Linked DNA regions of Astyanax mexicanus. The protein of the gene in region 1 binds, or shares a complex with, the protein of each later gene. Links are inferred from orthologs where the notes say so. Each region holds a gene or a part of one and is shown on either strand. Other genes may lie near its edges.

Region 1 (8,268 bases):
TTGAAATAAGATATTGTAAATTTGATGAATCAAACCAATGAATGACCATAGACTAATCTAAAACTGGCATAGGCCTCTCTGCTGTAAAAAAAATAAAAAATAAAATCGAAAATCAAATCAAATCGTGACCCTAAAATAAAAATAAAATCGAATCGAGGATTTAAAGAATCGTGACACCCATATCATTTACCTATGCATAAGGGTCCTATTCTATTTGCAATACCTTTCATAGAGACTAGACAAGCTGTGTGTGCGCATTCACAAATCTGTTTCAGCTATAGTAACAACTCAAGCTGCTAGCAGATTTGTTTGTTTTGTTGTCCACAAAAACATGTGGGCATATAATGCTAATCTGCTAACGAAAATAAGATAAAGAGTAATATTTTTCTATAATACTATAATACTAAAACTATAATAATTCGTCTAATTTGGAGGGCTTTGAGTGTTCTTTATAAAAATGAATGCATTTATAAATTCGTATATTCTCTGCATGAAAATCTGAATAAAGATGAAGAGAGTGATGCAATGTTTACAGATTGACTCATAGCTGAATTCGCACATCATTAAAATATTCAAAACGCAGTACTGGCTATTTATTCCCGATAAGGAGGACTTCACTAGTGTGCGACAGCTGTTTTTATGGACAGACGTTCAGTAGTCATTTGTGTTTACAGAGCTGTGAATAGGACGAATCAAACAGCTGGCAGGTTGTACACACAGCTTAAACAGCACAGCTGAACAGAAACAGATTTTTTTATTCAGAAATCATTAATTGGAAACCTATGAGTTTCTTAAGAATGATTCATAAATTCATGGCTAAAAAGAACAAAAAACAAACCAAACAACGACTAGATCCATAATTCCACTGAGAAATACGGTTCTTACTTTGGTCTGCTTCTTCTCAGTAGCATAGACAATAGATGTGCAGCAAACTTCAGATAACTTGCGGCCCTGTCCGTAGAAAGACCAGCAACAGATCTCGTCCCCAATTACATCCTTCATGAACAGTACTCGTCCGTTGTAGCTCAGGGACAGCTTCTCAAAAAGCTCAATGTTCTTAAGCAAGTTATCATCAGAGTTGCTGGCGAATGAATAATAATAAAAAAACAGGTTCAGCGAGGGACAATTAAGAGACATAGTTAAAAATGAGTTAAGAACTCAGATCTCTAGGATTGGCCAAATATTTGAAAGAAAATAAAAATATATATATATTAATTGTTCTAAATGTTAAAAAGATTTTTTTAAAATCTCTATATATCTTAAATACACTGTAATTTGTTTTTTTACATTTTTTCATTTGCATTGAGATACATACATCAAACTGCTTAAAATCTTCTAATTACTCATTTACCTGGTATAGGAATATTTGTTGTTGCTTCGATTGTAGAGCAGCTTCACTACTGGCTGTAAAAAAAATAATAATAATAACATAATTCATATTAAAACCGCAATGAATCAAGGTTTTGTTTGTTAGCCAAATAATATTATTAAAACACAACCTTACCCTTGTACAGCCCTGTATTAATCTCTCTTCTTCCTTTGAGGAGGTAATGACAGGGATAACACACAAAGCCTGTTGCTTATTATCCTGTGATTAAAAAAAAACAATCAAGGACAAGCACACCATTACTGATTACAGAGAGAACAGCTTTATTTATTTTTTTCAGTTTTTGTAACCTGTTTTTAAAACTACTCTGACCCAGTTAAGCTTCACTGACCTGAACGGCTTGCTGACACAAATCTATCAAACCCTGGATATGATAGTACTTGGCCTCTGCCAAAAGCTCCATGATCCCCTGCCTGCTCTTGGGCAAGGTCAGACTTCCATCCCTCAAGTAGCCGAGTATTGACCCGAAGTGCTTCCCACAGCGGTCGATCAAAATCCAACCTGAGGAGAACAAAATCCTTTCAGCCCACGAACAAAAAAAAAAACTGCATTCAAACAAAAAAAATGCATTAGTGCATTGTGATACACTGAGTTGTCAGAGATGACTGCATCCATACTGAAAGATTAGAATCACCCAGAATTTATTGTGATATGTCAATAAAGAAAGCAAATTTTTGAGGAACCAAAACTAAGTTTTTGCAAAATGTTTTTAGTTGTGTGGTCAACGCCTGCAATTAATATGGAAACTTTAACATGTAATGTATTGGGTTATTGCAGTGCTAGTCGTCAGTGGCCCAGTGTTTACCTTCTTTGTCCGTGAAAACCTCGGTCTTGCCACTGAACATGGACTTCAGCAGGCCGTCCTGTCGCGTCAGCACCTGCACAGTTGAGTAGTGCAGAACTCCTCCCACATTGAGTCGCACATATTTGTTTCCCACAGTGCCCTCCTGGCAACACGTCTTGGTCTTGGGGCAGGTCACTGCAGAGACTAACACGGTGGGCGGAACCTGCGGAGGACGCTGGTGCAGGCAGCTCTCTCCCGACATATCCCTCTGGAGGTAGATGACCACCCTGCACACAGTGGGCTTGATGTCCCCCGCCGTGGTGAATGCTGGTGGGGAAGCTGTCAGGACAAGCTCTCGCCACACCTTCACATATCTTTAAAAGAAAAAAAGAAAGAAAGAACAATTTAAATGTCTCATCACATAGCGCAGTAAAGTTTCAGTGTCAGTCATTTGCACAACATATGATATTTGTGCATTGAAATGCTTGTGGTGAAGCTCAAGTTTTTAATTACAGCACGGTTTCACGAAGATATAGAATTAAATATACTAAATAAATAAGAATATATAGGAATAGACTTCATTCGTTTCATTAAAGATTTCATTCAACTTCATTAGAATTCATTAATCGCTATTTTTTTAACAAATAATTCACGCAAATATGGACCCAGACTTTTACTAGTAATATTTATAATGAATTATAGCATTACAATTGTAAGAGAATGTGAAATACCAAATAAATCAATGGCAACATGGGACAAGTCAAAATTACATTAAGGTTTACATTGACTTTGAAAAAAATAAGGGTTCTCTACCAAGATACCACTTCATAATTATGAGATGCTTAGTTAATCATTTTTAAGAAATGCTAAGTCATAATTATAACTATACAATTCTGAGATGTTAATTCATAATTATGAGATACTATGTCATAATGATGACATATTGCGTCGTAATTCTGAGATATTACGCGATATATAGCTATGATATTTTATAAATATCTTATTATGACTTAGTGGAGGACCCTTATATATTTTTCTAAATTACGAAAATTGGCTTCTATACACTGCGGATATAATTCTAAAATAGCTTCTCCAGAGATCTAAATTGTGTTTACATAGCCGGTTAGTTAGCTCGTTAGTTTAACTAAGCTAGCGTTAACATGTTCCACTGGTTCCAACTTTGGATACCGAGCAGCTAGCCTAGCGTTAGCTAACAGGCTAAAACGAGCTTAACTCAGTCAGTAACGTTAGGTATAGCTAACCTAACCTACCGTACAGCTGTTCAGAAACGCCGCGCTCTTTATCCAGCTTCTTTGTCCTCTGGAGGTGATCGATTAGCCGATATATGAGGATGATAATGTACCTGAATCAGGTATTCAGGTAATTTAACACAGAAAACAGAGACTTTTACTGTGAGGTTAGCTTTCTAGCTAATGCTAACTTCTTCTTCTCTCTGGGTTATAGCGGTTTGCAGATCAACTACAGGTGCGTTACCACCACCTACTGGTCTAGAGGCAGTATCGTCGTAAAAAAAAAAGCCTTATAATAATAATAATAATAATAATAATAATAATAATAATAATAATAATAATAATTAAAATTGCCTTATGTAATAACTCTTACATTTCAAAGATATTCGTTTCAGAGTTTAGTAATTTAATTAATTTGTGCTCATTGATTTTACATTGATTTAGCATTGATTCAACGTTCTGGTTTTATATGCATGGTATAAAATTGTATCGCATTAAATGTATATATCCTGTATTCTATTCTTATAGCCTATACTATGGTCTCGCAGTGTAAAGAGTGGAATTTAATATTATTATAAATGTTTCATAAAAGCTTTGTATATAAGTGTATAAAAGCCCCAAACCATGCAAAGCCTTTAAATTCAATGTCAGAACTTCAACATTAACCGATGCCTATTAGGCAATGTTTAATAAAGGTTGTTTAAAGGCTTAATTTTTTTTAAGTGTATTCAATGTACTTATTATTTTGAGAAATTACATATAAAGCCAGAACTTTACCTTTAGCTCAGCTTAACATCGGTCTAATTCTCAGTTTCATCACTGAAAGAAAAATTATTGTTAGTTCTTACAGGTCAAGTGCGGTAATAAAGTTATTGCTAAGATGAGAAAATAAAAAGCACTTTTGACCGGTAAGTTATATAAATATTATTTGCTGTCTCTTCCACAGTGAATTTATTTGGTAATATTGTATAAGCTGTGCGTTTGAACTTGTTCAATTGACTTTTATTTTGAAATATATCTCACCAGTAGCGCATTGAGCTACTGTTTTTAGTTAGCATTTTTTCTAAATGAATTAAAATAATTTATTTTCTACCTGAACGTGTTAATCTACTTTTATATGAGACTTTTCAGATGTAACTCACACTGGGGGGATTTTTCTGTTATGTATCAAGGCCACTTTACTGCACTTTTATCTGCTCTCGAAGGTCAACGCCGTCTGTCAGCGGATACGTCGAAAAACACGAATGACCGCCTTTCAGGCACCACAAGAACCGCGGTTGGTTTTCTCGCTTGTCAATCAAACTATATTTAGCCAATCAGAGGCGTTTGTCCTTTCCACTTACGCCGGGCTACAAGCCGCTAGCATTCAAGATGTCGGCGGTGTCTGTGTTCCCCATGTGTGTCCAGGCGAGCCGGGGCCTCCTCAGGCTCAGGAGCGGAGCCGGGGCCACCGCGGCGCTGGAGGCGGTCAGGACGCTCTCCACTCAGAAGGGGGACAGCGGTGCCACAGGCGGACTGGCCCAGGCCATTCTCCAGGAGAGACTTCAGCAGCAGCAGAGGAGTCAGGTGGGTAGAGGTTAGCTGGAGCTGCTAATGTGCTTTGACGTTTCTTTTGGCAGGTCTGGCTTTCATTATTAAGTCCTCTGTGGTATTAAACAGTTTAAAGGCGCTGCAGAGCTATGAAACATGTCACTTATAATATAGAAATTCTTCAATTTTACAGGAATCAGTTTGAATGGGCTGCTGGTGAGCTCTATAGACATATTGCCAAGGATGTAGCCAGCATTGACTTTCGGTTATCTTACTAACTAACTGTGTATTAATTTGACCTTTATTGAAAGCACTTTTAGGGAGGGATTTTGTCTTTTTTGCGTGTGTTTTGTCGTTTGTAATTTTACCAATGTGCTGGTTTATCAGGTTGTCAGTATTGTCTCTTATCAGTGTGTAGGCATGTGGCCATCTTAAAGAATGCTAGTTAGAGTTAGTTGCATAGTTACTTAGTTAGTTAATTAACTATATTTCAGAATACTAGTCTCTTCTATAAAAACGACCACTTGTAGTAGATTAGATATGTGCCGTTGACTTAAAACCAGCTGATCAGACCTGTCACAATAATTACATTAACAACTTATCGTACAGTAAATGGATATAACCTATAAGTAAGTAATATTTGATAATCTTGATGTCATCTGTTGTGTTCATTTTAGTGGTGTCATTATGCATAGGAGTGTCACAATAATCAAGTAGATTTATTGTATATTGTTGACCTTATAATATAGTGCATTCTTTTTTACTTATTAAGAAGAGCTGGTATGTGGACTTTGCTTACAAACCATGATTTGTTTTTATTTATTTACTTTGGATGAAATTTTTGTCATTTATTTTATATTTTCAATAGTTTAAACTTCTGCTTTTTCAAAATAATTAATGCATTCATTTCCTGTGCTACTGAATTATTATAATACCAGTGGCATTAAAAAATAATTTTATCAATTAAGTCTGTACAAATTGATTATCATTATTATCATGACAGATTTACTTATGCATTGTCTTGTTGAACAAACTAATGGTTCTTAGTTAAATTGTGATTAGTGTAAGGATTCCCTATATAAGAGGGAGTCAGGTAACTGTAAAAATTAAAAAAAAAAAATAGAGTGATGCTTCATGTTCTAATGTTTTGATTATTCCCTCTCAGGGCCAGCCTCCTCCTGAGGGGGAGGAGAGTTCTGAGCAGAGGGGAGATGAGCAAGGCGAGGACAGGAAGCAGAAAGAAAACACAGCATATGCTAAGAAGGTGGTCCTTCGCTTAGCAGGACTTATGGGTCTTGGCGGCGCAGTCGGTGTTGTGTACATATTCGGTGAGTTAATCCTCTGGGACTGTTCTGGGATGAGGACTCCAGCATTTTACTCTAATAGGCTTTAAAGGATTTTCACAGAAGGATTTTGGATTATTTGAAGTGTTGTCTTTGGGCTTGTGGACAAGGTGTGTAAATATATGGAGTTTTAAAAAAAAAAATCAAATGTTTATTTCATTGCTATAGTGTGTTCTAGTATTTAAAACACATTTTACTATTATAGTTTTATAATTAGTTATATTGGTTGAATAGATGCTTAAAAATATTCTTGTTGCTTTGTTTCAACTTTAATTCATGCACTATGCAGTGCTACTTCACAGGGTGAATCTGTCATCAGCAGAAAGTGGTGGCACAGTCAGATTTATTTGTTCGTTTTTTTTTGTACAGAATTGTTTTGCCAATTTTTGGAATATAGTTTTTGCAAAATAGCCTTAAATATGGTGATATTTTTTGGCCATGTGGGCCATCAGGGTATAACTCTTTTTTGCTTTTGCTGTTTGTAACAAAAAGGAAAAATTGCACTGTGCTCATTTCACATTTAAAAAAAATGTTGCAGTAGTGTATTCTTGAAATTATATATTTTTTATTCAATGTTCTCATATTGCCAATAATATTGTTGTAACAAAAAAACCCTGAAATGTTGTGCTGATCTTTTTCTTTCTATGTTTAAATCAATCAAACTGACATTTGTGACATTGTTCTTAAATATAGCATAGTGTTTATTTTTGTTCTTGTTGTGCTTTATGATAATTGAAACACAAAAATTAGATGTTTGGGACATCTTAACATTGATTTTTTTTTATCATCAAGGTTATTGGCTGTTTAGTCTTGTTTAATTTTGTTGGAGACGTATATATTAGAGCATTTATGTGAGTTTTTGATTGCATTTAGTGCTTGCGGAGTGTTAGTGAAGTCACAATGTTGGTACTAGGTTATAATTCTGTTCTCCCTCGCTGGCCATTAGGGCATGGTGTCATCAGGCCCTGTTTTATTCACAAGTGTTTGGCAGGTTTTACATGACTAAGTAAAATGTGAAATATAAAATTGAAAAAGTGTCAATAACTAAGCCATAAAGTATTTTCAGAAAGTCTTAATATGTTTTCCTTACTTCTACAGGTAGCAATTCTGTGGATGAACAAGGAAATAAGGTACGTACACTCTACATAAAACATAGTCAGGATTCACGTCCTTGTTCCAACATTACAGATTTTTGACAGGCATTGAGGTGTGAAGGCAGTTAGAAGTCCTCTACAGTCCTGTGTGGCAGGTAGTGCTGTCAGGCTTTGGAGGCACACTTCCTCACCTATTCTTGTCTCCCCAGGCGCCTCTCTGATACCCCCCCTTGGTGTAACTGCAGACTGTTAAAATTTACAGGTGATGTGAGCAGACGGCACACTCCTCAGGTCTTTGTAAATGATGCTGCATGTCTAAGAGCACACTTCTCACGCTTCAAAAGGACACACTTCACAAGAAAGTGCAGTCTCGCGAGTAGACGACTGGAGTGTGCCGGGGCTGTAGGTGTGTGATCTCGTACCCCCCCCCACTCCCCCCCCCCCTCCCGCCACTATACGGTAGCACTCTGTTACGCTAATTGGAGGGCTCAAGGGTCGTTGTGAAAGGGTTGCACATCCTGTTCTAAGTTGAATTGCTTTCCCGCAAGAATAGCCTTGTGGGAAAACTGTGAGAAGTTTGTTAAAGAAAATGCCAGGATAATTTTATGAACTTCTCAGAGTTTATTAAAGGAGGATGCAGAGATAATTTATGGAGAAAATAGCTGCCTAATATTTTAAAGAGTGTTTTAATCCTTATTTTGGTGCTAAAGGATTGTTCATACATTGTTCAATGTAGGAATTAACACCTTATGATCCATTTGGGTTGGATAAATATTAGATTCCTTAAAGAATTTGTAAACTTGTGACCAGCTGCCAATGTCTTAGGCATAAACATAAAGATGAATAAGAGAGGGAGATCTATTTGTAATAATTGTAGGTT
Region 2 (7,915 bases), on another chromosome or scaffold:
GACTTCTTGAAAATAGTGCAGTCCTGGATCAGTACGAACGAGCTTCAGAGAAATATGAAAACATGGACCGGAGATTTACAGCAGCATGATGGCACGGACACTGTAGTCACAGGCATAGGGCCTACAGAACACACTGCAGATGTAAATGGACACAGTAGCAGAGAAAAAAAAGAGACTTTTAGATTGAAATTGCTTGAAATATCTAAAACTTGAATTTTGGACGAGCATTATTTAATCCATTTGCCCTTTTTTTAATTATTCAGGCCGTTGGTTGACATTGGACAAACACACTGTATTAACTGTTATTTTACTTCCATTATAAGAATAAGTGTAAACAGAACTTTCCTGTTGCATGCATTTGTTATTCTTCCATAAAAATATGTTTTTTTGTTGTTGTTCTTTTTGTTGTTTTTACACCGGATAAACAGTGTTGACACAGATTATTTACAGCCATATCTATAGTCTACATATATTTACCTCAGGCCAAGAGAAACATTTTTGTCTTTTTGCATGTCTTATGTCTATTTGTCATTTCGTTTAACAATTGATCATACTAAGTTAAATCCAAGGCATTGTGAACTAAACTAAACCCCCCTTAGAAGGCAAATTACTGCACTAACATATGCATGCTTAAATATTTAAAAAAGATAAAATATGTGTGGCTAAGTTCATTTTAAAAATGTTTTAATTAAATTAATTAATTTTGCTGTATAATCTATTTAAAGTGCAGGTGCAAAACACACTCATAAACTTTTGCTACATTTTGGTGGCACATAATATTTGTACACAAATTTTTGTAGCTGTTTGAAAGCTGGACCACCTTTAACACAGTTTATGTATGCATTAAGAAAATAATAAACTTTGACAAGAGCCCCTTTCATGTTTTCTTATGCCGGCTGAGCCTAAATCCTAAAGCGTTAGTTGGTGTCCCTGAACTGGGATTAATATGATGTCATTGGCATGTTGTGAAATAAAATAATTAAATAGCAAACAAATTTGTATAAATTGGACTGATGATACTGTGATGATTGTCTTTTCCAATTCCAAGGACAGATCATATGCACACTGCCTCTGCTACTAACAGGTAATGCTAATACCATTCTGTGATTCAGTGATGCATTAGAATTCCTGTACACATATACACACACACACACATATATATTGTTGCTAGTGATGTATGGTACCAGTCAAATGCTTGGACACACCTACTTATAGAACCATTTTTGTTTTCTTATTTTAACTTGTTAGTTCCAGCATTTTATCAAAAACATGAACATGAGTTTTATTTGTGTGTGTTCTGATTTTTCATATTTTACATATAAGCTAAAAATATATAAACACCAAAATTATGTGAATTCCAAATGTCATGGAACAGCAGTACATAATTTGATAAAGTGTTACCTCCGGGAACAGCTTGGGACCACCCACAATTTAGTAATAATATGTGAGGTGTTGTGTTATCAGTGAGGATGAAATTTGGCCAGGGTGCTCATGGCAATGCGGAGTAAATTTTAGAGTCAGAGTGGCATGCCTTAGACTCGATTGGTTTATCAAAGTGAGGGCTCTTGTCCTAAAAACTATATATTTGCAAACTATTATCATTGTTTAAATGTCTGTACTGCTGTATATTCCTAAAACCAGAATTTGTACTATTTATTTGGATCTTAACCTTTAGAGCACTAAATAGCTCAGCTAAATAGGGAATGGAAGCTAATTGTTACCAGTTTGTATGATGTCATTTGCAAATTCTTAATGATGACTTTTCACTTTCATCATTTCATTGTTATCAACAACATTGGCATTAGACCTATCCCTTTAAATATATGTAGCCTATAGCCAGATATCTGGAACCATGTTTTCTATTTTTCTTGTTCAAAAATGTGCACTGCAGAGCGTAAAGAAGGACATGCTTGTCTTCAGGGTTGCCCTAATAGTGTTTTTTTACTTTTTCAACAGGCAGATGCATCACTGCCCTGCGTCTTTCCATGTTTGACAGCTTAAGGGACTAACTCGTAACATCCTCCTACAGACAGGACTGTCAGATTCAGCGAATATTAAGTGGGGCAGCGTCTGCTTCTCATCTGATTGCCTAGGGCCTCTTGGCTTTTGGTGGACGACACTAACTTGTGTTCCTACATTGACTTTAACCTGCTCAGCCACTGAACAGCATTGTGGTGCCTAGAGAGTAGACAGACATAAGTCTACATCTCCTGACTGCAAACTGAAATCCAGGGGCGGATTGGGATGTTTGGGGGTGGGGATACTGTACTGGGAATAGGATGGGGATGTTGGTTTGTTTTTTATTCATTTTCCATTGTTTTAATTTTTATCCATTGTGTGGGATATGAAACAAATGTAATTATTTTTTCTCTTTTGTGACCTTTAAGAAAAGAATCTAAAGCTAAAATGTGAATCTAAACTTTACTGAATGTCAATGCAAATTTGTTCCTTTTCCTAAAGTAGACTTGAGCTGCACAGGCCACTGGAGTCGTGTTGTCATTTTGTAGTCAGTGCCCACATTATAAACTCTATGTAGATTCCTCTCTCACATAATTAATTTCCTAGGTTTTGGAAAATTGTGACTTTTGTGGTAAACACACACATTTTAAACCCTACAGAATTTTTTCTATGTGTATTTTTTATTAAATGCCCCTGTATCCTCTGAATTATACACGTTTTGCTAGTTACAGACTAAGCCTAACACTGCAACACACTGAAAAGACTTGTTTCACCAAAATACTCCAAACAAACCAGCCAGCTTTATCAAATAAAGAGAGTTAAATGTCTCTGGTAGCGATAGAGTTTGAATAAAAATGTATATTTTACTGTAGTAAGCTCAAAAAGTAGTTGTTGACATAAGCACTGTGCCATGTCAGTGTGCAGGAACGTTAGCTTAGCTGTAAGCATAGATGTAGCATTAATCAGTCATTTGTTTTGACCCATTAGATGTAGCAAATGAGGATCCAGAGACATTTAGGGGGGAAACCTTAAAAAACCTTAAACCTCATTCATTTGTGTCCAAAAGAAATTCACCTCAGCCCTGGAGTTTATAATATGGGCTAACTAGCTACAGAATTGACACAAATCATCTGCGGTCTACTGTTATTATTATCACCTGATAAACAGATATCAGTTATTTGACCTGATTTTCTGTGATCTGTTTTTCAATTTCCTAACCTCTGCCCGCTAAGTGCACATTCACTAAAAATTAATTATTAGATTCAGATTTGACCAAAATCTTTAGAAACTGGTCAGCAGGTCTTGTCTATGCATATTTGAATAGAAAGAAATGTTACTACAATCATATATAAGCTGCAAGGTATTGATCAATGGTATGAAAGTAGATCACACATCTTTTTTTTTCCATATAAAACATGAAATGTCTGTATGTTCAAAACCTGCTCATTTGCCAGAAGGTCTACTTGGGTCAGCATTAGGTGAATCATAGACAAAATGTTTTTTAATAAAAGACATGAATAATTCTGTCAAAATTCTTGTTTCAACACTGATTATTAGTATTTTTGAATGTTTTCTTTTTTTTTAATACAGCAAAAGTGAAAACAGAATTATATTTGTTTTTATTTTACGTAAATTGCTTATTTGAGACCAAGAACCAAGAATGTTATGGTTAGTTATTTGTTAGTCATTTTCTCTTATGCATTTGTTTGGATTTAGCATTTTTCTGTTTTTGGTTTTTATTATTAAATACGTTGAAAGACAATACACTCAGCACACATGACTGCACCATGTGAAATATGAGGAGATTCAGGAGAATACAAATAAAACTCATAAACTCCAAAAACATAGAATGGATAGGGAAAACAAAAATTTTATTAAATAACACATATATTCCATAGGATTTCAGAAACCCTGTGTTTTTAATCTTAAAACCTAATCTCAGCCATAAGCAAAGAGTACATTTATTTCGTTTAACTTGCATTTATGCATTAAAAAATTAACTAAAATTAATTAAATATTTAATACAACATAACTACATTTTCCATATATTTGTCTATTTTGGAGAGATAGCAAATAACATTCTTAAGAAAGATTGTTAATATTTAGTTCACAGAAAGAACAAATATTTCCAGACAATGATGTTTAGTTTCTTTTGTAGTTTTAGCGACGTTTGAACAGAGTTTATTATGGAAGTCAAAACACTACAACTCCCATGATCCTCAGCTACAAGAAATGCTGTGAACTCGCCAGACGTCAAGACAAAGTTCATTATAAAAAAAATAAAAGTACCCCAACATTTAAAGATAAAGTGTTTTAATAAGGAGAAATATGGCCTGTATTTATAAAAGTGACGATGTTTGTAATAAAGTCCACATTTACTCATAAGTGTAGATTTATAAACAGGTTTATTTTGCTAATCACGCTGTTATTATCGGAGAGGACTTTTATTTTGAAGGGGGGATTAGCTAGCTGGCGCCAGTGAGGCTATGGCAGGCTGTTCCAGTCATGAGTGAGGAGTGAGATTGTTGTGTTGTTGAGTTTTCTGGGGTCACGGTCAGTTTGACCATTTTCAGTCTTTGAAAGAGAAGCTGCTTATTTCACTGCAGCTTAAAGTGTAGCCTTACCGATTAAATAACAAGCTGGCTAGTGCTATGTATCTCCCAGACCTGTGCAGTGTTTAGCCAGGCTATCTTTTCTAGCTAGCTATCAGTTAAATACAGTGAACCACAGCAGCAGGTTAACTCAGTTACCTTACTGGTTCTTAACCTCGGTTATAATGGTTTATTCACTCCTGTTGAGAAGTGGCAGGACTTCACACTGTGTACAGCACTTACTGAAGCGTGTAAACATCCCCCCATCTCTACAGGTGTCACCTCTGCAGGTGAATAACCCTGTTTTAATCCAGGTAAAGTTCAATAACTTGCCCTTAACTCGGTGGACATGCCTGCCTCGCTGTGTTGGTGTTCAGACTCGAGGTTTCCACGCTGGAGGTCAGTGCAGAAATGCGAGTGACCCTGAGGGACAGGGCAGGGGTCGAGATCAGGTATCAGTCCACAAGAGCCAGGCCTCCTCTGGAGTCTCAGCTGCACAGAAAGGTGGGTTCAGGGGGTGTGTTACAGCTCATTACAGCGATTTTATGCAGAAACTTTAGTGTGACTTTAAATGTGCTGTGCTCTGGGGTTGTCTCCCTCCTACAGTCAAACAAGCTGGCAAAGATTTTACCTATCTGATAGTGGTGCTCATTGGTCTTGGAGTTACAGGTAAGATAAAGCTCTAAATTATTCTTTATTTTATGGATGCTTATTTCCAGTAGACAGGCTTTCTCTTATTTATTTATTTGCATATATATATATATATATATATATATATATATATATATATATATATATACACACACGCAGTGGAATATAAAGTATTTGCCCCTCTGATACCTTTCTGATATTTTTTTATAATTATCAAACCGATCTTAATATTAAAAGCACTTTTTAAATTATTTTTTTTCTTTTAATAAATAAAACAATCTTGCCCTGTGTGAAAAAATATTTGCAGTGCTTCCCTTGGTGGCAACAACTGCAATTAAACTTTACTGATAACTGGCAATAAGTCTTTTTCATCTCTGTGGAGAAATTTTCGTCCACTTTTCTTTGCGGAATTGTTTTAATTCAGCCCCATCTGAGCTTTTTTTTAGCATGAACGGCCTGTTTAAGATCACGTTGCAGCATCTCAGTCAGACTTTGACTAGGCCACTCCAAAACCTTCTTTTTTTAAGCCATTCAGAGCCTTTCAGCCTTAACCAATGCCTATTAAATGTTAAATAAAGGTTGTTTTAAGGTTGGTTTTCCATCATCAACCTACTAGGTCACAGTCAAAAGAATACGTAAATAAATAAATAAAAAAAAACCTGGCAACGATAGAAAGGGGCACAAAAGATTGTAATACATAGGTTTTATCGCTGGTTATTTCAGGATTTATGATTCTAAAATTATTCACCTGTTTTTTGCAGGTGGACTTCTTTATGTCATCTTTCAAGAACTGTTTTCATCATCCAGTCCAAGCAAACTCTATGGGAAAGCTTTTGAAAAATGCAGATCACACCCAGAGGTCTAATTTGCTAATTTGGAGAATGTCATTATAAAACTACACTATTTTTTATTAACTTATTTATTTCATGAATACATAAAATTTTCTTCTTACTTTAGGTAATTGGAGCTTTTGGTGAGCCCATCAAAGGCTATGGTGAGACCACTCGCCGGGGTAGGAGACAACAAGTTAGGTATGATGCAATAGCAAAATAATAGTAGACAAAATAATTAATATTTAAGAGAGTTGAGTTATAAACCATACAGTTTAATTTTTTATATATTTGACTTAACTCCCTTAATGTTCTCATAGCCATATTGAATACGTGAAGGATGGCCAGCAGCACATGAGGCTGAAATTTTACATTGAGGGTTCAGAGCCAGGACTGCACGGAACTGTACATTCAGAGGCAAAGCAGGTGAAATTCAAAATTCTTGTTTACAGTGTACACTAATGTGTTTCATTGCTGGAATTTATCAGTTTAATCAGATGAGATTTCTAATATAAAGATGTTTCTGGATGTTTGTCATTCCACAGAATCCTGAGACGGGGAGATATGAATTCCGCTACATATTTGTGGATATAGACGCCTATCCCAGGAGGACAATCGTGATTGAAGATAACAGATGAGATGGTTTTTCAGTGAATCCTGAACAGATAGAAACCTCTTCAAGCTCCCAGTGGAACTCTTACGGTGAACTTGTTTGTATAAAGCTAGGTTTATGTGTAGGGTAATGATTTCAAAATGGCAGTATTTCAAATAAGCATTAGGGGGAGTTCAGGTTTTCTTGCCTTCAGATGTCATATCCTGGTCATTTTTGTGAATACAATTATATCTATGTACACTGTAGGACCTGAATCATTTTTAAAGATTTTTAATTAACTCAAATTCTATGCATTTACACCGGGCATCCACATTGCTTACTCTCAGGTCAGTGGTCAGTTTGACTGCCATTAAATGGGCCCATTTACTACTGCCACATTTCATTCATATGTCATTCTGGGTAATTTCATTCACTATATTAAAGTAACTGCTTCCAGATAAGCAAAGAAAATGAACTCACTCACATGCTTGCAAACTGCCTTATTTGCACTGGTCCTTGGCCAGCTTCAAATAATACATATTAAGATCTGTTTTACTTCATGGATGTGAGCATTGATTTGCCATTCAGTAATATTGTTTTATTACAATAATAAGAAATAATGGCCATATTTGAATTTTGATTGCCAAGAAATAAAGCTTTTGTGAAGCAGGGTGCTTTAAAAATGCCAAGAAACAATTATTTTCTAACTTTTTGTAAACAAAAAAATAAATAATAATTATACATTAAAGATCAGATGATATGTTGGGGATGATCTTATTTGAATTGGCCTGGTTTCAACTTTCACTTAGCCGAGTGTCATAATGTTGGAATCATGGTGTTTGTTTGAAAAGGAATTTTGAATGCACTTAATGTGTTACTGTCTGTATTGAGAGCAGATTAAAGATGAAAGCAAAATTTTGATTTTTTTTTTTCTTGACTGATGTTGAATGACATTGATTAGCTTGCGTACAGATGAAAATGCTAATTAAAAGCAATAATAATACTAATAATGATACATTACTGTTCACTAGTCTGGATGTTTAGATGTTGTATATCTGAAACTAAAAAAAAAAAGAAAATTGATGAAGAGAGTAACCTATAAACTAAGAAAATCAGCAAAGACCAGCTGGTCATCCAGAACAAACACACCCTATGCAGACAGACTAGCTTGTTAACATACTCTTGACCAGCGGAGGCTGTGGTTTTCCTGGATGACTAGCTAGTATTGAACCGGATTTTTTAGCAGGGTATTCTGTAAGAGACCAGAGTAGTACTTACTTTATTTCTCTTCA
Region 3 (7,621 bases), on another chromosome or scaffold:
GGCAAAAGATTTAAATGAGGTGTCACATAAAACACATATATGAAGTCAATATATGGAACTAAGAAGATGCAATCCAGATAATTTGAATGAATGTTTTTTGTGTTATTTTTTATGTAATGTAGTACACAAGGGTTCTAGCATTGCAACGAGATTAAAACATAGTGCAATACAGGAAGCACTTACCAGGTAGGGTCCAGTACTTTGTACCAGTTGGTGGGTAAATTTTCAACCCTTGTAGCTTCATAGTCTACATTGTTGTCGTCATAGTCTTCAGCAATGATTTCCTCTTCATTGTCTTAAGAACAACAACATATCCAATCAGTCATAAGCAAAACATACATTGTATATTGACTACATTAAGAAGTACAGCTGACTATGTACTGTAAGCTGACATCTTACCATGTTCTGACTGCTTTAGGATTCCTCTCTTGGCCAGACGAGCCAGAAGAGCTGGTGGCAGAGGCATCTGGGGAGAAGAAAAATGGAGAGATATTTTGCATATTAATAACATGAAATTGTTAATTGTTGGTAAATTTATCTAGATTTTAGTAAGACACTCTAGAGAGATGAGGAAATCGCACAAAGATGCTCGTTATTATACATATGACTGTATATCCTGAAGATGTGAAAACATAAAAAAACAATTGCTGATGGGTGCGGATGTGTGGGCACAACCTGTTTGCAATATGTTTTATAGCTTTTTACAAGTAATGAAAGCTTGGCTTTCTTATGCCTGCTCATTACACCAATCAAAAAACAATAACTTTGTATTTTAGACAAGAACATAAAGCAACCAGATAAAAAAAAAAACATTAGTTGACTTACATGCCAACAACTGCATTTACAAATGGGGTGAACACATCCACCCAGATCTAGTCAATTTAAACTACAGACCAAACCCTAAAATCAGAATAGACGATACAGCACCACTCTCTAAAAAATAAAGATGTGTCTTAAAGCAGTAGTTCTCAACCCTGGTTCTGGTGTACCACTGTCCAGCATGTTGTAGTGTTTAGATGCTGCTTTAGTAGCAGAATTGGACTAAGCATAAATATTTTTAACTTACATTTATTTTGTTTGATTAGAGCTGAAAAATATATTGATATTTTTTCATACTGATAAGGATTAATTTCCTTCCTTCAATCAACTATATCATCATTGCTTAAAAAGCACTGACCCAAATGTACATTTATTGACAGAGTGTAAAAAAATTCTATTTCATTTTAGAATTTATAGAAATCACAGTATTCTACATAAAAAAGTATTTGAACAGTTAAAACACAATGCATACAGTTAATCAAATGATTATCTTTAAATACTGTGATATAATATTTTGCCATGTTATACAGATCTATTAGTATGTGATTACATACACCAAGGCTGGCTTTTACACTGTTCATAAAGATATTGGTATTAATTTAGAACTGGGCAAAAAAAGTTTTCGTTTATTTTGCACCATGGTCTTGGAATAACATTAAAAACAAATCACAGAGTTGGTTTTCTTGAGTGAGCTTAAATCCTTTCTGTGATGAATTCTGTGATAAGTAAAAAAATGTCTGTGATGGAAACATGCAATGGCTACTCTGACATGCCTGTTTTGTGCTTTCATGTTGGTTTTGTGTTTATTCTAAATGTAAATAAATGTTGTAATGTTCTGTAACTAGTGCTTCGACAGTGTCGATTATTTAAATGTGTCGACTACAAATTTCATTTTTGACTAATCGTTAATTTGTAACAGTACCGCATTACACAAAGTGGTGACAGAAACACAATGGGAGATGGTAAATGGCTCACTCATACAGTTTACACTCAATTTAGTATGTGTCTCCAAAAGTGCTCAAACACAACAGGTTACATATTTAATCACTACATATCAGTAGTTTACACGTTTAAACAACTTCTAGGCATTTAAATTGCTTTATAATTCTCATGTTCTATCGTTTTAGAGATGGGGGATCTGGCAGAAATAATCATTGAGTAATCGACTAGTCGAAAAAATAATCATCAGATTAGTCAACTACCAAAATATTCATTATTTGCAGCCCTATCTGTAATTGGAAATGGTGTGCCGTCCTGGCCAGATCTCCCTTGAAAAATAGATTTTTATCTCAAGGGACCTCCTGGTTAAAAAAATTAAGTAAATAAAAAAATATCGTATTGACCGAAATTAAGAATTATATCGTAATATTTTTTTTGCCATATCGTCCAGCACTATGTTTGGTCCTGACTCTTAGCAACTAAACCAGTGTTGTGGTCTGTGGCACTCTTAATTTATTTCTACTTCTTAGGACAGCTGTAACATTTGGTTGTATTATTGATGATCATTAAGGTGCTGTTTGCAGAGTAAAAACAAAACACGAGTTACAGCAAAACTAGTTACCCAGCACTTTCATTCAGCCCTCAGACTTAACGCTAGCTTAGCTAAATAGCATAGCACGTTACCCCAGCGTACTCAGACTCCTATTTAAACCATTATCTGCTGTATTTCAGCTAGATATCCATGCAAACCAGTGTCACAGCAGGCAATACAGTCTGCAGCATCTGTAAATAATCCACATTGATAAATTGAGAGAACCGCTGGTTTATTTACCTTAATAACAGCCGCGCGCTGCTAACTTTTCATTCACAGCAGCTACCAGCTTCAGTCGGCGCAGAAAAATGACGTCACGCTCCTCCCCCTTGTGGTCCCAGTGGGATTTAAGTGTTTTTGCTTGTTATAGAGAGCTATGGACAAGCATATAGAATAAATGAAATAAATAAATTACGTTAAATTAATTATAATAAAATTATACAGCTTATCGAGTGTCCGCTCCAGTCAAACAAGGAGTTTGATATGGTCCAATGAAATTAACAGTCCTTGGCGTTTCTGTTGAGACAGCCAATCACAGCACGGGATTACTTGTAGCGATCCTCCAACCGCAAGCAAAATGTAATAAAAGTACTTTATTTTAAATAATAAAAAAAACGACAAGAATGAAGATTCAGAATTATTTTAACCATTTCTCTTTCTTGACGTAATTTTGTACCTGGTACTTGGACCAATGCAAATGCTGCAAAATGACTTGAATAAACGAACCTGTTTTACGTCATCTTATACTTTGTGGCAATTTGGGCACCACAGGTTGGTGTTTTTATTCTCTACAGAAAACACAACCTCCAGGCATTTAATTGATTGTGAGAGTGGATGTTGAATAGCGTTTTATGTGTTACTAATGAGGAGTTGTTACTTTTTTGTGAGATTTACCTGAGAATTTGTGAATATATATAACATTTGGATTTGTAAGTGTTTTAGCCATTGTACTAATAAAGTGCAGTTAAAAGTATCTTTCTATCTTTCTCATGATACCCACTCTGTATGTCTGTCTATCTCTCTCTTTCTCTCTCTCTCTCCCTCCCACTTAGTCCAGTTCAGTTTAATAGTGATTTATTAGCATAAATGTAAAAAGAAACACTATTGCCAAAGCATATGACAGAAAACACATAAAAGCAAAATAATAATAATAATAATAATAATAATTACATACATGTATACAATTACAACAACTGGAGCTATTTACAGGCGTAAGCATTATTATTATTAATTATAATTGACAAGAAAAGGAAAATAAGGGTGAAAAGACTATAAATACGTAATAATAAGGAATAAATCAGTGATTTCGGTAAATTAGTTATAATAATTTTGTGTTTTTGTCCACACTGGTTTTCCCTCAGTGAGTGATCAGCTCCTTACTCCCTCTATCTCATGATACCCACTTTGTCTATCTGTCTCTGTTTCTCTCTCCATACCCATTCTAATTATTTTACGTTGTCTTTCTCTAGCACTCATTTGGCCACCAATGGTCAGTGTATTTATTTCTCTACAGAAAACATTTGTGCATTGACATAATGTATACTAAGTGTAACTGTACAATAACTTTGTATTGTGTGTTTATTTTCTTAATTAAAAAATGAGAAATACCTGGTGTAGGTACAAATACTGACATTTTAAATATTTTTTAATTTAGTTTATATACATTTAATGTACAAAGTTGGCATGTGTGCCTTATATTTTTTGTACTAGAAATGCAGACTCTCTTCTCTCTGGGGTGGAAAATCATTGCTAATCCTGTCCATCAGGTGGCGCTGAAACCCCGGCGGGCGGCTGCGTCACGGCGCCGAGGTCAGCGGCTGATCATGGAGGAGTATGCCCGTGAACCCTGGTAAAGTACAACTTCTGAGACAGCTTCTCTCTTTAACTAAACCACCGGTAAACAGAGCCGCTCTGACTCCGCTCAGAGGAGCATTTCCCCCGCCTGTGTGTGACTGTGTGTCGGCTCTGTTTCCTGTAGTTCCTGCAGTGAGTGTATGTGTGTGTTTGTGTGTGTGTGTGAGTGCAGTACAGCGCTCGGTTAGCGGGGCTGGCTAACAGCATAAACACCTCCTCCTCCTCCTCCTCAGGGTCGGGCTGCGAGTCTTACATCAGTGGAGCTATACACACACACACGAATATACAAATACTCACAGATACTACACATGCAGGAGGACCTCTTAGCCAGTAACAGCGTTTAATTACCACAGTAACGCACATTTAAATTCCTTAATAAGTAAAAGTAAAGTAAAGTAAAAATACAGGGAATTTTAGATTATATTGTCTGTTTTGTTATTTCTTAATTTGTCTTAGTTCTCCCGGTGTTTTCTCTTTGTCCTCCATAATTTTCCCAGTTTTCTGACACCATGTATGCTTACTCGTCTTACTTTACCACTCTTTATTTTATTAGTTTTTTTCTCATCTTTTTTTCTCACGGTTTTTACAGTTTTACTATTTCTCTGCATCTGTTTACTTCTCGCTTTCTGACCTTTACTTTCTCTGTTTGTCTATACCACCCGCTTCCCTGTTTCTTTTATTATACATAATTTAATCTCTCTGTCTCTCTCTTTCTCTCCCTTTCAGTCTCTCTGTCTGTATCCTTCTTTCAGTCTCTTTTAGTCTCATTGTCTTCTTCCCTTTCTCTCTCTTTCAGTGTCTTTGTCTCTTTCTTTTAGTCTATCTCTCTTTCTTTCAGTCTCTCTCCCTTTCTCTTTCAGCCTACCTCTCTTTCAGTCTCTCTCTCTCTGCATCCCTCTTTTTCTCTCTCTTTCAGTCTCTCTTTTTCTGTGTCTCCCTCTTTCTCCCTTTTGCAGTCTCTCTCTCTCTCTCTCTCTCTCTCTCTCTTTTTCTCAAAATACCCACTCTGTCTCTATTTCTATGTAATACCCTCTCTCATTCTCACGATTATACCCACCACTTACTCTATAATCTGTTTTTCTCACTCTGCTCTGCCCATTCTGTCTGGCTCTCTTTTTTCTCTCTCTTTCTGTTTTCTTTTTGTCTTTCCAAGATTCAACATTTAAAGTCGTTTTTTTCTTGCCTAACTGTAACTGTTTCTGTCAATGTTTGTCAGAAAATTAACAGAAAAAGAACAACAGTAATTATTAATATTTATTAGAGGTGTGCCAAAAAATCGATTCACATAAGAATCTTGATTCTCATTTACTACGATTCAGAATCGATTTAAAATGTCCCAAAATCGATTCTGAGGGGCGGGTTTTGGACTGATTTTGGGCTGGGTATTTTTGTTGGACCTGGCAACCCGCTTGTCCCTTCAAACCGAGGTCTTCCAGACCCACACAGAGCGTAGTAGGTGTTTGAGAATCACCGGTAAGATGGCAGAACAAGCACTATATTACTTTAGATTAACGTGTAGTTTTAATGTTTTATGGCAGAATGCTTCATAACAAGCATAAAAAAGATCGCTAGTAGTTAGTTTCAGTAACTGTTAGCTAGCTAACAAGCTAACTTTCCAGTTCCACCTTAAATAACGCTACAGGTGGCTGCGGGCTGCAGCATTTAAGGCGGAACGGAAAAATAACAATAAGCTAATCAGAGCTAATTTCAGCTCCTCATCACAGAGGAATTAAGGAATGGACAATATGAATTAATTTCTCCACCTCCTGCCCCCTTTCTGAAGAAATACAACGACCTTAAATTAACTAGTTAATCAGCAGCTGCTCCTGAACTTTAGCGCTCCACTGCTATCATCACATCAGCCCAGCAGCGTCACCTACACACCACCGCTAGTAGCCTGGTAATAAAGCAGTGTTATTTATTATTTATTTATTGTTCATTAACGTCATTGTGATATCCCAGTGATTCCTCTGTCACTGAGGACCCACATTCCTGCACATTTTATTGTTTTTGTAACACATTACTTGCTCCAGGACCAGTGTATATTATGGAGGGGTTTTTTTTTCAATAAGATTCATAAGCCAGAAGCAGAAATTTTTATAATTCAAATCGTTTTGAATCAAAAATCGATTTTGAATCGAATCGTGGCCCCCAAAATCGGAATCGAATCGAATCGTGAGATAGTAATCGATTCCCACCCCTAATATTTATAGACAACAGTCAGGTATGGTCTCTAAGGTGGTGACCCACTATAATAATACCCACTCTATCTGTCTATCTGTCTTCCTCTGTTTGTCTGTCTTATCTACCTGTCTTTCTCTGTTTCGTGATACCTCATGATCTTTTTTTCGTTATGTGTCTTTTTATCTCTTTATTTGCTCTCTCAGTCCTTGGAGAATAGTAGATGACTGCGGAGGTGCATTCACGATGGGGGCCATCGGTGGGGGGGTGTTTCAGTCCATCAAAGGCTTCAGGAATGCGCCTGTGGTGGGTGTTTCAGTGCCTAAATAATGACCTGATTTCATGCTGATTGTGAATTCTTTTGATTCTGATTAATCTCTCTCTCTCAGGGCGTACGACACCGGCTGAAAGGCAGTGCGAACGCTGTGAGAATTAGAGCACCGCAGATCGGTGGTAAGTTTTTCTGTTGTCCTGATTCTTGCTCTATTCTTCTCCTGCCTCTTTGTTCTCCTTCTGTTACAGTGAGAGACAAGCACAGACTGACCTGGATTCCCTGAGAGTATCAGTATTTTTACTGGGCTTGTGCTTCAGCCAAAAAAGATCAGGTTCCTAATAGTAAACAAGTGCTGTCAGGTATCAGTGTTACAGATATGATTATATTTGCTGCTTCATTCATTCACTCTCTGTTGGCATATGAGACTAAAACAGGTTCCTAACGACACTTATCAGGGCAGAAACTAAATGCTGCAGCTCCTCCTACTTTCTTGGCTGGTTAAAGGGGTGTTTTCATTGAATATCACAGCTTCATTTGACATAAAAATATACTAAATAATAAAAAACAATATAAAATCCTATTAAAAAAATATATGGTCCACACTCCAGTCTATACTGTCAGAGATGTGCAAATATATATGCTGTGTTTCTTAGTTACTGTGGTCAGACACTCACACATTGAAGATTAGCCAAGCTGGTTAAGTTGGTCCAATAAGTGAAGAGATATTTAATGTGTGTGTGTGTGTATTTTGCAGGAAGTTTTGCTGTGTGGGGAGGCCTCTTCTCTACCATAGACTGTGGCCTGGTGCGGCTGAGGGGTAAAGAAGACCCCTGGAACTCCATCACCAGCGGAGCCATGACTGGAGCCATTCTGGCAGCACGCAGTGAGTGTATAACTGCATCATGGCTGCATTATACTGGGAACCTCTTTATACGGCTCTGCCTAAAAAACAAAATAGCACA
Region 4 (7,703 bases), on another chromosome or scaffold:
TTGATTTTACCAAATCAAAAACCTTGAATATAATCAAGAGGAAGATGGATGATCAGAAGCCATCAAACCAAGATTAACTGCTTGAATTTTTGCACCAGGAGTGGCATAAAGTTATCCAAAAGCAGTATGTAAGACTGGTGGAGGAGAACATGACAAGATGAATGAAAACTGTGATAAAAACAGGCTTATTCCACCAAATATTGATTTCTGAACTCTTAAAACTTTATGAATATGAACTTGTTTTCTTTGCATTATTTGAGGTCTTAAAGCTCTGCATCTTTATTGTTTCTGAAACAAATACCTATAAATAACGAAATCAGAGAAACTGATTCAGATTTTTTCAGAGCTACATATTTTGGCAGTTTAGCTATATATTCTGGCAATGTATTTGACAGTGATATAACACAATTACGGTAATGAAAACTGTGCTGCTTTCTATCTGTATAGAATATTTCTGATTATATTGTAGTTTTGTTAAAATTAATTATTGATAATTGATAAAAACAAATAGTTTATGTATTCCATTTACACAGATGTTTATCATAAACATTTTTTTTTTGTATATTAAAATAATTGTATGATTTTCCAGAGACGCAAAAAGGTAAAATACTGTAAATTTAACTGGGCAAAGCTTGTAAGCCAGATACTGCAATTTCAATATATTGTCACTTTTAGTTTTAAAACTAAAAAAATACAATGTGATTGCTTAAATACCACATTCTGAAGGATATAATAATAATATGTTTTATAGTTGCTTGTTATAGAGACATTATATCCTCACTGCATGTCTTTACAGTAAAGGCAAATTCCAAACATCACTATTCATAATAGCATTTACATCATCACACCTGCTAAACGAGCAACTGTCCACGTATTTGTGAGCGTATACACTGGGACAGTGGTGTCTTAGCCACTCAAGAACCAGGTTATTGTAGGCAGAGTTCGATACCCAGTTTCAACACTGATAGGCCCTCAAGCAAGGTTGGATGTCATGCAGTGATGTCATACCTCATACCGTACCGAGAAACAGCAAGAGCTGTGTCAAGAACAACATCACATCTTAAGATGTTTCTCCGAACTTGGAGTCCTGCTGGAGTTCTGCTGGACTGTATTGAGGGGTGTTGTGTGCAGCGGCAGGCTCGTTTATACTTCCTCTGCCCTGTCTTGCCCTCTGCACCCATGAAATGCCCATATTTGGTCATTCTGAATGGAGACGCAGTCCTCACCTCATTCCTTTCTCCTTCCTAATAACTGGAAGATAGCCAACATTCTGTCCAACTACAAACAGCGACCACAGAGAAAGAGAGAGTAATGGAGGTACATGACTAGTCTTTCACTAATACACTAGTTAACAGGACAGAGAGAGATTTCTGAGCATGTCTCAGAGCAAAAATACAATAAAGTCATATTGTAGCTGGGCCTGGAGAGCCTGTACACTTATAGGCTGCGAAAGCTGGCATGCAGGTCAAGGAAGTGTTGCAATCTGGTTGTGGCCTTCCTGAAGTACCCTTGCTGTGTGTGGGTAGACATTATCCTGCTGAAAAATGCCCTGCCATGAGGAACAACATGACATGTGTCCTGCACATATTGCTGAGCTGTCTTTGTATCACTACTAGGGGTAACCGACTGACTGTCGTATGAGGTCATTTTAAACCTAGTCAATATGGTTCTGTTGCATAACAGTCCAGGTTTCTTGTTTACAAAATCACCGCAAACACAAAAAGGTGATGATGGCTGGCTCATGTAAGGCCTTGATGGTGAGAATTTGTCAAAATGACCATTTTGCTTCTCTCAGTCTAGGAATACGCCCCTCTTAAAGTCTGTCAACTGGGCAAAATGTGTTTGAATGTGCTCTAGAGACACATCAATAAATAATCTCTCACCGAAAGAGATAGACTACCCAAATGTAGCCTCTGAAAACCTTTTTTATATAAGGCAGCGGGGGGGGGGACACTTTTACATCCTCTTCTAGCAAGATGTGTCTAATCTGACCACACCGTAATCGTTTGTATATCTGCCTGAGATAAATCTGCTTGCAGAGTTTTGCAGCTATCCGGGCATGTTATTTTTTTCTTTAATGAATTTTTACTGTTTTTTTTTTTTACTGTTTTTTTTTATAGAATTTGAACCAATATAGAGTACACTACACTGGGCATGATACACGACACAACCAGATTGCTGGCGCCACACGCCAAAATGCGTTTGACTGACATTACCGACAAAAATAAGATGTCGAACATAGTGGTGCATGAGCTTGCTGCAGTGGTTTTGTTGTGCTGCTATACATGCAGAAGCAAACAAACACAAAAACATAAAAACAGTGTTGGGTAACGTTTACTAAGCTTAATAAGGAAATAGAAAATTGTGTAAAACGTCATTATTTCTTTTTTTCAAAAAAACATTATTTTTTTATTGTTCTACTTTTTCATTTCTACCTTTCAAAATAAGAAAACCAGAAAAAAAATTCAGTCCAAAAATGGATGGTATGATCCATTTAGTTTTAGATTTAAAAATAAGGGATATTTTCCTCCGTCCGCTTAAAGCTGTCCCACCAGCCCAACGAAGGTTCAGTATCCCTTACATTTTAAGACAGGTTTACAAGAAATATAAAATAACCACATGTCAACCACTTACAGACTACAGTTAGATTATCAGAATCTGATAGGCCTACCTTTGTTGACACTGAAATGTTGTGGACATTCCTACATATGTCATTCTTTTAATACAGCCAAATTAAAAACCCTTTTCTAGATATATAAAAAAAAGATTCCATGCCTTTTTTGGCATAAATGCACTCTTTTATATGATATATTTTCTATTTATTTAATGGATTTAAAATTGAACAAAGGGTGCACAAATTCTGCAAAATGACTGTTGGTGACCTAAAAATAGTATTATGAGCTTTTACTAAAAGGACATGGACCAGATATATTCCATCAGTAAAAATGAGTCCTAATGGGGTCTACACAATTAATACTTTTTAATTAATACTTCTTTCTTTTGATCACTCCACCCCTGGTCAGTTCAGTTCATTTCGGTCCTCTCCACATTTCTAGTTAAGTCACAAGCCGTAATTTTTGAATTTTTAAAAGGTTTAATTTGTGTTTTTATTCAGAGACGAGTATTTTCAAGCAGCTATCAGAAAAATCTCATCACAGTTTATATGACTAGCCTACCGTTACCTTTCTTTTACAAAAATCTCCGTATATCCATATATGTTTTAACATCAGCTGCTCCGACTAGCTGCCTGAACTCACAGCGGGGGGCGGGGCGTCTTCCCCACACTGACCCTACTTTGCGCTACGCAAAACCAGCAAGCTGATTGGTTGTTTCTCCTGAAAGGCGGGACTTTCTCCTTGAACCGGCACCACGATTGGTTAAGAGACACAGAGCGGTCAGTGCCGTCTCCTCAATAATAAAGTTTTTTTAATTTTATCATAATACGGGAAATTTACGGGAAAAAGGTATGTATAATCAAACCAATTAATGTTACAAAATGCAAGAATGGAAAATTAAATAACCTACTAAAGATTCAGTTTTTCTGAAACTCTGATTGTGAGGGGCAGATATTAAAAAACTATTTAAGTTTTACACCCTGTTTTATATTTTACAATTTAGTTCTCACAGTAAGAAAGTTCAACAGATAAAGTTTACACTGACCTGTGTGTGTGTGCAACCAGTTGTAGGTACTTAACCTACTGTAAAACTAATCAGTAACAGGTGAACTGGGTGAAATGCTCCTGTAGATATTTTTTTTTACACATTTATATTTAGATAATATTATATATTATCTTAAACACCTTATCTTATATAATATCATATTAAACAGAAGGGGGGCTCACTGGCTGCAGTTCCCCCTCACGCCGCCAGGTGGCCCGTTGTCGTAACCGGAACCTGCTGATCTGACGTCAACCTTGAACTGTCTTTTGTCCGGTGACGTCATTCGGAGCAGTAACAGAACAAGATGGAGGAGTACGCGAGAGAACCGTGGTAAGCCGGCCTGGCCGAATTTTACTTATTTTTATAATTTATTAATGTTCAGATCAGCGCGGTTTAGTGTTTTTAGTGGAGATTAGCGCGCTGTAACGGGGAGTCTGAGGGGAGCGCGTGCTGTCAGGGTTTGGGTTAGACCGGGTCCAGCGGGAAGGTCTAAAGCACGCGGCCGGAGAGCTCGAGCTGACAGGCGGGGTGACCTTGCTCTGAGAGCGGCGGAGCGGGGGACTCGCGGGCACACTCATAACACAGCTACAAACTAACTACATAACCACGAGACTGAGCTAATTTTATATCACCGATTTAACTAAAATAATCCAGACAGAGCTGAAATATTAACTTAAACTCTGAGTGATCTGACATGCTCCACAGATTAATGAGGTTTATACCTCAGAGGTGATTTATTTTAACTAGTTACGTTATCTAGCTTCGCTAAATTAACTATAGTTAGTTAACGCTAGCTTACTAACCTAGTTAACCTGGTTACCATAGTAACCGCTGCGCTAAATTGTGTAATTTGTTTGGTATGGTTAGCTAACCGCTAGCGTTAGTTTCCCCACAGAAGTAACCTAGTTTGTTTAGTAACCTAACTAGCCTTTTCTCCTCTAATTAGTAAACCGTGCATAATTTAACCCATAGATATTTTAAAACATGAACAAAAACAAACATACTAGGGGTTAAAATGTAATAATTAAATTTGTTTTCATAATTAAATACTTTAACCCCTTAACAGGCCAGGATTTTTGTCAATATTCTGCCTGACATTACACCCCTAAATCTTGAGGATTTCTATTCAAGCATTACATAAAAAGCTTTCATGTTTGATAAGGAATGTTACTGTAGCCCGTATGCAGTTCAATGCATGTTAATAGGTTAAACAATGAAGCAACGTTGCCTCTCTAATTATGGCATGATTTTTCCCTCAGACAACCAACCAACTTTTGGTTATTAGTTAACTAACTACATTCCATTCCATTCCATAACATATCTTATTTTTATGTAACAGCTATTTATTTTATTTTCAATTTAATGTTAGAAGGCATATCTACACCCATACTACTAACCTAGTTAACCTGGTTAGTTTCCATAGTAACCGCTGCACTGAGTTTTGTAATTTGTTTGGTTAGGTTAGCTAACGGCTAGCTTTAGTTTCCCACAAAAGTAGTTTAGTAGCTTTTTCTCCAGTAATTAGTAAACAGTACAAAATTGAACCCATATATATTTCAAAACATGTACAGAAACAAACATACTAGGGGTTAAAGTGTAAAAATTAAACTAGATGTTTTCATAATTAAAGACTTTAAACAATGAAGCAACCCCTCTAATTATGGCGTAATATTGCCCTCAGATAACAAACCAACTTTAGGTTATTAGCTAGTTACCTAGTTATACCATTCCATTCCATACAATACTTTACTCTTTATGTATTTAGCTATTTATTTTATTTTTAATTCAATGTTAGAAGGCGTATCACACTACAATGTGGTGTACAACAGGGTCATATATACAATATGCTTATGTGCAATCTAGGACTGTAGTAGTGATTTTCATATTTTACACTTTTGGGGGCTGCTTAAAATTTTGCAAAAGAAAGAAGTATAAAAATGTATAAAATGTAGGGATCATTGAAACGTTTTGACAAATAAAAAAAAGAAAAGGATTATGTCTAAAAGACTAAGTTAAAGGACAATCCCAAAACAAATTAGCTAGCCAGTTACAGTTTTTACAACATTACAAAGACCTTACAAACCGAACATTGGTTGTCAATATCTTTCCTAAACCAATGTAAAAAAAACCTGTGTAACTGTTTACCTGTACTAATGCTACTACCTGTGTGAATGTAATATGACAAAAAAACTCATTGGATTTAGTTTGATTTAGTAATGCAGTGTAGTATTGTTATTTTTTTCTTTTTATCTTTTTTTTTCTGTTAACATTTACCAACATGATCTACATACAGTATGCTGTTAGTTATCTGATAGTTGTGTCTGTATTTTCTGTGTTTTTTTTCTTATTTAGTCCCTGGAGGATAGTAGATGACTGTGGCGGTGCATTCACAATGGGAGCTATAGGTGGAGGAATCTTCCAGGCTGTTAAAGGTTTCAGAAACTCACCTGCTGTAAGTCCTCTGGTTTTGTATGATTAAATCACATTATAGTAATGTGCAATGGTTTTGCTCCTTTGGTTATGAGTGAATGGTTATAAAGGTTAGCAACCACTTGCATCATTTTCTAGCACCATCTAAGGCTGGATGGCCTGTGTAGCTCCTCCTTTATGCAAAACCAAAACAAAAGTGATATACTTAAGATTCAAATGGTTTTTAAGTATTTAAAATGTAAATTAAACATTTTCATTTATGCTTTTTGGAATGTAAGGTGGGGACATATGTTAATATAAATTTTAAACAAACAAAGCCATTGGTAGGTACTTCTTTATTAAGGAAATTCTGGAGTGTATTTTTTGGTTAAGGTGGGTGTTTGAGTCACATGTTGGGTTCTTCATAAGGTTCACCTTGGAACTTATCCTGAGCTCCCAGTGTCCTTTGGACAAGGTCAAAGTGTCTGATGCTGAGCTCTGTTAGTTGAATAGGAGATGATGGACTGCTTACACTTTTATCTGTCTCTCTGTTTTAGGGAATAAATCACAGACTGAAGGGCAGCATGACTGCCATCAGAACCAGAGCTCCACAGCTAGGAGGTGAGAATGGGTTCATAGTGCACTGATTGATTGTTTGATTAGGTTGGTAATCAAAAAAATATACTGAATGTTTTGATGATTAATGTGGCAATTGTTTATTTTTTTAAATAACCAATCTGATAAATGTTTATTCAACCAAATCCAATCATTGATCCAGTGAGCCTAACAGTGTTGGGCAACTCTAATGTTGCTTTTTTGAACACCTGTTTCTTGTTAATCTTTGGCCATGTTTCTTTTTTCTTTCAATAAAACATTTTAGGATTGTAAGTTTATTAGCGATTATGGTCTTAAAATTCAAACCTAAATGTTTTCTGCGTACTACAGGAAGTTTTGCCGTCTGGGGCGGACTCTTCTCGATGATCGACTGTGGGCTGGTGAAAGTTCGGGGGAAAGAGGATCCCTGGAACTCGATAACAAGTGGAGCCATGACTGGAGCTATCCTCGCTGCCAGAAGTGAGTGAAAATTTGGGCCTGTGTTTCAGATTCTTACATTATTTTTCATTCCTTAATTCATTGTGTTGGGGAGCTTGGAGTAGCCTACCTAAATCCCATGAACGCCAAATGCTGCGAGACTCATACTCTCTTTATGTGGTAGTGTTTGCTAAACATGTAACGATTAGGGGTGTCACGATTCTCTAAATCCTCGATTCGATTTCATTTTCGATTTGAGGGTCACGATTCGATTCGATTCTCGATTTTCTTGTTTTTTTTTCTTGTTATTATTTTATGCCTCATAAAATTTAAATAATATATTTATTATTATTATTATTATAAATATTATAAATATTATTATTATTATTTATTAAGATATATATGGTAATGCCATCTAGTGACTTTTGTGGGTAGCAACAGTGTGCACTATTAAAACAAGCAGTTTATCAGAGCTGTGTGTGGATGGCTGGTGAAACTGCTCACTTACATGAAGCTGCAGTTCTTCATCAAACCACTAGTCGGAGCTGCAGCAGCACAAGCCCCGCTCTCTTCACTCAGTCACTACTTCAGTACAGCCCAGC

What was found.
Region 2: timm50 (region 1) and timm21 share a complex: the UniProt entries of both Homo sapiens proteins name them as parts of the TIM23 complex. The link is inferred for Astyanax mexicanus from reciprocal best matches to the Homo sapiens genes TIMM50 and TIMM21.
Region 3: timm50 (region 1) and timm17b share a complex: the UniProt entries of both Homo sapiens proteins name them as parts of the TIM23 complex. The link is inferred for Astyanax mexicanus from reciprocal best matches to the Homo sapiens genes TIMM50 and TIMM17B.
Region 4: timm50 (region 1) and timm17a share a complex: the UniProt entries of both Homo sapiens proteins name them as parts of the TIM23 complex. The link is inferred for Astyanax mexicanus from reciprocal best matches to the Homo sapiens genes TIMM50 and TIMM17A.

Annotation. Positions count from the first base shown.
Region 1 is NC_064425.1:17,463,919-17,472,186, reverse strand, and holds the start of timm50 (mitochondrial import inner membrane translocase subunit TIM50), read left to right. Parts: upstream 1-4,750; 5' UTR 4,751-4,792; coding exon 4,793-4,987; intron 4,988-6,116; coding exon 6,117-6,279; intron 6,280-7,392; coding exon 7,393-7,424; intron 7,425-8,268. Other genes in the region: tnfaip1 (BTB/POZ domain-containing adapter for CUL3-mediated RhoA degradation protein 2), read right to left, coding at 886-1,081, 1,352-1,404, 1,505-1,588, 1,719-1,888, 2,193-2,433. UniProt on the Homo sapiens protein: Essential component of the TIM23 complex, a complex that mediates the translocation of transit peptide-containing proteins across the mitochondrial inner membrane. Has some phosphatase activity in vitro; however such activity may not be relevant in vivo.
Region 2 is NC_064408.1:91,588,187-91,596,101, forward strand, and holds timm21 (mitochondrial import inner membrane translocase subunit Tim21-like), read left to right. Parts: upstream 1-4,408; 5' UTR 4,409-4,735; coding exon 4,736-5,054; intron 5,055-5,156; coding exon 5,157-5,219; intron 5,220-5,962; coding exon 5,963-6,060; intron 6,061-6,158; coding exon 6,159-6,232; intron 6,233-6,351; coding exon 6,352-6,457; intron 6,458-6,576; coding exon 6,577-6,669; 3' UTR 6,670-7,264; downstream 7,265-7,915. UniProt on the Homo sapiens protein: Participates in the translocation of transit peptide-containing proteins across the mitochondrial inner membrane.
Region 3 is NC_064419.1:20,725,744-20,733,364, forward strand, and holds the start of timm17b (mitochondrial import inner membrane translocase subunit Tim17-B), read left to right. Parts: upstream 1-4,122; 5' UTR 4,123-4,173; coding exon 4,174-4,199; intron 4,200-6,591; coding exon 6,592-6,691; intron 6,692-6,774; coding exon 6,775-6,838; intron 6,839-7,413; coding exon 7,414-7,542; intron 7,543-7,621. Other genes in the region: pqbp1 (polyglutamine-binding protein 1), read right to left, coding at 184-295, 400-466. UniProt on the Homo sapiens protein: Essential component of the TIM23 complex, a complex that mediates the translocation of transit peptide-containing proteins across the mitochondrial inner membrane.
Region 4 is NC_064431.1:17,484,077-17,491,779, reverse strand, and holds the start of timm17a (mitochondrial import inner membrane translocase subunit Tim17-A), read left to right. Parts: upstream 1-4,202; 5' UTR 4,203-4,354; coding exon 4,355-4,389; intron 4,390-6,012; coding exon 6,013-6,112; intron 6,113-6,626; coding exon 6,627-6,690; intron 6,691-7,014; coding exon 7,015-7,143; intron 7,144-7,703. UniProt on the Homo sapiens protein: Essential component of the TIM23 complex, a complex that mediates the translocation of transit peptide-containing proteins across the mitochondrial inner membrane.